Linked DNA regions of Macaca mulatta. The protein of the gene in region 1 purifies or fractionates together with the protein of each later gene. This does not show direct contact. Links are inferred from orthologs where the notes say so. Each region holds a gene or a part of one and is shown on either strand. Other genes may lie near its edges.

Region 1 (2,554 bases):
TCACCTCTTTCTCTTGATAACTTTCTCTTCACAAATCAATATAGAGGACTTTTTCATTTTCCATGGCCCCTGAACTTAGTTTTGTCATCTCTTTTTGGTTAAAAAGAGAGAGAGAAAGAAAGAGACTCCCAGCCGGGCGCGCTGGCTCACGCCTGTAATCCCAGCACTTTGGGAGGCCGAGATGGGCGGATCACGAGGTCAGGAGATCAAGACCATCCTGACTAACACGGTGAAACCCCAAATACTAAAAATACAAAAATTAGCCGGGCGCGGTGGCAGGCGCCTGTAGTCCCAGCCACACGGGAGGCTGAGGCAGGAGAATGGCGTGAACCTGGGAGGCGGAGCTTGCAGTGAGTGGAGATCGCGCCACTGCACTCCAGCCTGGGAGACAGAGCGAGACTCCGTCTCAAAAAAAAAAAAAAGAAAGAGACTCCCCACTTGTCCTGTTCCATCTCCAAAATCAGCTCAGATCTCCCAGGAACTCTTCCGGAAGGAGCTCAGGCTACGTTTCGAGCTTAAAAGAAGCTAATGACCATTATGAAAATGGCACAAGAAATCCTCACTGCTTCACAGCGCCCTTCCTTCCCTGGTACTGTGTGGCCAAGAAGTACACTTCTGATGACTCTTTTCTGCTGGCTTCAGGTTTGATGATCCTTACATTCTGGAATTCCTCTGTCAGTCTCCTCTGTAACCGATGGCTTTGACTTCCAGCCCAGGTTTTACAAAGGAATGTTCCCCGAGGTTGCAGGATGTCTGGGGTCATGCTGAGAAGGGTCAGGCACAGGCTGATGAGCCTGTCATGATCGAGGTCCCGGAACCCTGTGGCATTGGGCGCCATGTCGCTCAGAATCACATCTGCTCTCCCACCAGGAAGCACCTCGAGGATTCTCTGTGAGGTTCTCGGGTCAGTCACATCAGCAGGGCACAGAAAAGTTGCTCCTTCCAGGGGGAATATGTGAAGAAGATCTACCCCAAGCACGAAGCCAACAGGAGAGCTGGGATCTATGGAAGAAATGGTGAATGTGTTATTTATTTACACCCTGAATGTTTTCACAAAAATATAGTACATGCAACAAAATGATGAAATAAAAGTAAAATGTCAAGACCAATGCAAAGAGCTAATGTGCAAATAGGTAAACACAGGCCTTTTCTATCTATACATCCTATAAAGACACGTGGTGGGGGAGGTCGTGGGCCTTAACATCTGAGAAGCTGAGGCCCATACAGGAAGTAACTGTCCTACAGTCATCCTCAGCCATGGGCAGACCTGTGCCAAGCGCCAGGACTTCTGATTCCAAATCTGGTATCATTTCACTACCCAAGGCTCACTCTCTGTGAAAGGGTTCTTATCTCTGAGTGCTCTTTTGATAAACTAAAATAGAAAATAGGCCGGTCGCAGTGGCTCACAACTATAATCCCAGCACTCTGGGAGGCTGACACAGATGGATCACCTGAGGTCAGGAGTTCGAGACCAGCCTGGCCAACATGGGGAAATGCTGTCTCCACTAAAACTACAAAACTCAGGCAGGTGTGGTGGCACATGCCTGTAATCCCAGCTAGTCGGGAGGCTGAGACAGGAGAATCTCTTGAACCCAGGAAGCGGAGGTTGCAGTGAGCCAAGATCACGTTCACGCTCTCTCCTTCTGTCACCTTCTCCTACAAGGCATGCTCTTGCTTCATCTCAAGAGCACTACACTCCAGCCTCAGCGACAGAGCGAGACTCCATCTCAAAAAAAAAAAGAAAAAGAAAAAGAAAATAATATACTAGTGCATAAAGTGCCTCTGGATTAAATCAATAAATCCATTCTCCTTCTCCACCTTAATCCAATTGCTTCCAATGTAGAAACTACTGGAAATAAGTCAAGAGATGAGGAAAATGAACACATACAAAATAATGTACAAAAACTGATACCAGCTAGGTGCGGTGGCTCACACCTAAAATCTCAGCACTTTGGGAGGCTGAGAAGAACTGCTAGAGCCCAGGAGTTCTAGTCCAGCCTGGGCAACATAGCAAGATCCTATCTCTACAAAAAAATATAAAAATTAGCTGTAGTCTCAGCTACTCAGGACACCCAGCTAAAATGAGGCATGAGGCTGGGCGCAGTGGCTCAAGCCTGTAATCCCAGCACTTTGGGAGGCCGAGGCGGGCGGATCACAAGGTCAGGAGATCAAGACCATCCTGGCTAACACGATGAAACCCCATCTCTACTAAAAAATACAAAAAACTAGCCGGGCGAGGTGGCGGGCGCCTGTAGTCCCAGCTCAGAAGAGGCTGAGGCAGCAGAATGGCGTGAACCCGGGAGGCGGAGCTTGCAGTGAGCTGAGATCTAGCCACTGCACTCCAGCCTGGGCGACAGAGCGAGACTCCGTCTCAAAAAAAAAAAAAAAAAAAAATGAGGCGTGAGGCGTCCCATTTTCCTGGGCTGAAGATTGAGGGGTTTTACCTTTGAAAAATGAGGTAATCTTCAAAATACCTGGACTTCCAATGTTTAAACTAGGAATGAAACATGGTCTCTTCCTCGCCCCCTACCGTTGGAACAGCCTTTCTGTTAAG
Region 2 (4,099 bases), on another chromosome or scaffold:
ACACTCCAGTGTGGGCGCAGGCCCAGCACAGGGCTCAAGGGCCCTGTTACAGAATTCCTGGAGGTTTAAATACCCTCTAGAGGATTCACTGGTTACTTGGTGTATACCCTATGTAAACGAAGAGAATGAATTAAAGTTACAAACTCATTTACTCGGCATACACCCTATGGAGAGGATATTTCTTGTTATAGCTAAAGTGTGAATCGGCCTTATGTTCCCTGCCTCCAGACCCTATTTTCCTGCCTCAAATCTCTAATACTTGATTTTGATGATTTAACTGTTGATCAATGCAAATATAAAAGACTTTTGTAAAGCATAGGCTATACTGTATGTTAATTCAAGGAATGTCAGGGCATGTACTAATGCTGAATTCTGAGAATCACGTGCTTTTGTACAGAACAAAGTCTGTTTCTTGAAATATTTTGAGTTAAATACTCCCTAAAACTCCTTAATAAAGGCAATTACAGAATCTGTTAATTGATATGTGGAATGGCAGTGAAAGAGGCTGTATTAGACGACTTGAAAACACTCATATTTGGAGCTTAATGAAAATATTCCTGCTCCCCAGAGATGAAATGTTAGTGAGAGTAGCAAATAATCTATTTTTATATGCCCGATTTGCATATTTGAGGCCATCTATTAACACCGTTCTTTAGGACCTCAACCTAGTCGTCTAAGACATCCTTATTAAACAAGGCCAATACGTACCATTTAACATTGAAAATAGTTAATGCCCTTCAAAATCTTTCAAAAGAATAAAAATTAAAAACTAAGTTCTTTGTAAAATTTTGCGGTTTAAAATAATTTTTAAAATTTTAAAAATTTTTTGGTTTCAAATTAGTGGGTGCCTCATTTATCATAAATTATAAAAGAGAATCTAACAATTATTGGCTACATTCTAGGCACGGGGTAACGCTTTATTGTTCTTCTAACCAAAAAAATATATGTATCTAAGTATCCTATGTAACGTATCATTCAATCACACAAAACCCTATGAAATACTGGCAGGGCCCGGTGGCTCACGCCTGTAATCCCAGCACTTTGAGAGGCAGAGGCAGGAGGATAATTTGAGCCCTCAGGAGTTCAAGACCAGCCTGGACAACAATAGTGAGACATCGTCACTTCACCATCATATCCAGAATTAATTTCTACTGTTAGGGCAGTCAGCGAAAGGAAAGCTCGCGATATTACACAAACTACTACTCCCAACATGCAAAGCGGTTTCTTTCCCTCTGTCCCCGCCCGGCCGTCCGAGAGCCCCAGCAGGCCTCGGGGCGCGAAAGGCAACCTGGAAGCGGTAGTTCTCCTGGGCGCCTAGCGGGATCGCCAGCGCGGCAGTGGGGCCTTCCGCGGCTCCAAGCCAGCGGGTCCTGTGAGGGCGAGCGGAGGCGGAGAAAGGGCGCGGGAGTGAGAGAGGGTGAGTCAGCCACTGTCTACGCAATAAAGGGAGGCCTCACCGCGGGCTAGGGCTGAATTCAGAAGTGCGGCCCGTGCCGCAGTCTGTTCCAGGACGCGGCTTGTCTTAGCGTCTGCGAGGGAAGGTTGAGGAGGAGCCAGAGCCGGGTCCGGCAGCCTTTCTCGCTATCAGCGCCCGTCGCCATCTCCACCATGCAGTCCCGGGAAGACGCCCCGCGCTCTCGCCGCCTCGCCAGCCCCCGCGGTGGGAGGCGGCCCAAGAGGATTTCCAAGCCCTCGGTTTCGGCCTTTTTCACGGGTCCAGAGGAATTAAAGGACACGGCCCATTCTGCAGCCCTGCTGGCACAGCTCAAGTCTTTCTACGACGCGCGGCTGCTGTGTGATGTGACCATCGAGGTGGTGACGCCTGGCAGCGGGCCTGGCACGGGTCGCCTCTTTTCCTGCAATCGCAACGTGCTAGCAGCTGCGTGTCCCTACTTCAAGAGCATGTTCACAGGTGGCATGTACGAGAGCCAGCAGGCCAGCGTGACCATGCACGATGTGGACGCCGAGTCCTTCGAGGTGTTGGTCGACTACTGCTACACGGGTCGTGTGTCTCTCAGCGAGGCCAATGTGCAGCGCCTGTACGCAGCCTCCGACATGCTGCAACTGGAGTATGTGCGGGAAGCCTGTGCCTCCTTCTTAGCCCGACGTCTTGACCTGACCAACTGCACCGCCATCCTCAAGTTTGCAGACGCCTTCGACCATCACAAGCTTCGATCTCAGGCCCAGTCCTATATAGCTCAGAACTTCAAGCAGCTCAGCCGAATGGGTTCAATTCGGGAAGAGACTCTAGCAGATCTGACCCTGGCCCAGCTGCTGGCTGTCCTGCGCTTGGATAGTCTGGACATAGAGAGTGAGCGGACTGTATGCCATGTAGCTGTGCAGTGGCTGGAGGCTGCTCCCAAGGAGCGGGGTCCCAGTGCTGCGGAAGTCTTCAAGTGCGTGCGCTGGATGCACTTCACTGAAGAAGATCAGGACTACTTAGAAGGGCTGCTGACCAAGCCCATTGTGAAGAAGTACTGCCTGGACGTTATTGAAGGGGCCCTGCAGATGCGCTATGGTGACCTGTTGTACAAGTCTCTGGTGCCAGTGCCAAACAGCAGCAGCAGCAGCAGTAGCAGCAGCAACTCTCTTGTATCTGCAGCAGAAAATCCACCCCAGAGACTGGGTATGTGTGCCAAGGAGATGGTGATCTTCTTTGGACACCCCAGAGATCCCTTTCTCTGCTATGACCCTTACTCAGGGGACATTTACACAATGCCATCACCTTTGACCAGCTTTGCTCACACTAAGACTGTTACCTCCTCAGCTGTCTGTGTCTCCCCAGACCATGACATCTATCTAGCTGCCCAGCCAAGGAAAGACCTCTGGGTGTATAAACCAGCTCAGAATAGTTGGCAGCAACTTGCAGATCGCTTGCTGTGTCGTGAGGGCATGGATGTGGCATATCTCAATGGCTACATCTACATTTTGGGGGGGCGAGACCCTATTACTGGAGTTAAGTTGAAGGAAGTGGAATGCTACAGTGTTCAGAGAAACCAGTGGGCATTGGTGGCTCCTGTCCCTCATTCCTTCTATTCCTTTGAACTCATAGTGGTTCAGAACTATCTTTATGCTGTCAACAGTAAGCGCATGCTCTGCTATGATCCTAGCCACAATATGTGGCTGAACTGTGCTTCTCTTAAACGCAGTGACTTTCAGGAAGCATGTGTTTTCAATGATGAAATCTATTGTATCTGTGACATCCCAGTCATGAAGGTCTACAACCCAGCTAGGGGAGAATGGAGGCGGATTAGTAATATTCCTTTGGATTCAGAGACCCACAACTACCAGATTGTCAATCATGACCGAAAGTTGCTTCTCATCACTTCTACAACCCCACAATGGAAAAAGAACCGAGTAACAGTGTATGAGTATGATACTAGGGAAGATCAGTGGATTAATATAGGTACTATGTTAGGCCTTTTGCAGTTTGACTCTGGCTTTATTTGCCTTTGTGCCCGTGTTTATCCTTCCTGCCTTGAACCTGGTCAGAGTTTTATTACTGAGGAAGATGATGCACGGAGTGAGTCTAGTACTGAATGGGACTTAGATGGATTCAGTGAGCTGGACTCTGAGTCAGGAAGTTCAAGTTCTTTTTCAGATGATGAAGTCTGGGTGCAAGTAGCACCTCAGCGAAATGCACAGGATCAGCAGGGTTCTTTGTAAATAGATTTTGAGACACTAAGATGTTTCTACTGCTACGGAATGTATTTTAAACACATATCCTTTCTTTTTCTTGAAAAAAAAAAAGTTGACCAGGACCACAGATTTGGTTTAGAAAGGGTAATATTTTGAAATACTACAAGGTTTAAACAGTCCACAAAATCGACCTGTTTAATAATATACCTTCCTGAAAGTCCAAAATTAAAATATGGAAGCAAGAACTATGTAATTGACTGGGATGCTTGGTAGGTTTTTTTCATTGTTCAAATATTCATTGCACAGTGGATTGTTTTGATTAGTTAGTATGCTTTTTTTTTTTTAATTAATTCAGTCTTCTGTTAATTTTTAAGTTTTGGTTAGTGCCACAAGGAATTTAACTTTTTAATCTGTACAATAGAAAACTGGACTAGGAATTGTTGGTGGAGTTTTGAAGGAT

Evidence for each region. Proteins that work in one complex are often made in the same cells at the same time.
Region 2: the proteins of MRM2 (region 1) and KBTBD7 purify together in Homo sapiens (co-immunoprecipitation; 3 studies listed by BioGRID and IntAct, counting the BioPlex papers as one, with this or other methods). This does not show direct contact. The link is inferred for Macaca mulatta from reciprocal best matches to the Homo sapiens genes MRM2 and KBTBD7.

The regions. Positions count from the first base shown.
Region 1 is NC_133408.1:36,203,547-36,206,100, forward strand, and holds the end of MRM2 (rRNA methyltransferase 2, mitochondrial), read right to left. Parts: intron 1,003-2,554; coding exon 560-1,002; 3' UTR 501-559; downstream 1-500. UniProt on the Homo sapiens protein: S-adenosyl-L-methionine-dependent 2'-O-ribose methyltransferase that catalyzes the formation of 2'-O-methyluridine at position 1369 (Um1369) in the 16S mitochondrial large subunit ribosomal RNA (mtLSU rRNA), a universally conserved modification in the peptidyl transferase domain of the mtLSU rRNA.
Region 2 is NC_133422.1:20,614,150-20,618,248, reverse strand, and holds the start of KBTBD7 (kelch repeat and BTB domain-containing protein 7), read left to right. Parts: upstream 1-1,299; 5' UTR 1,300-1,608; coding exon 1,609-3,666; 3' UTR 3,667-4,099. UniProt on the Homo sapiens protein: As part of the CUL3(KBTBD6/7) E3 ubiquitin ligase complex functions as a substrate adapter for the RAC1 guanine exchange factor (GEF) TIAM1, mediating its 'Lys-48' ubiquitination and proteasomal degradation.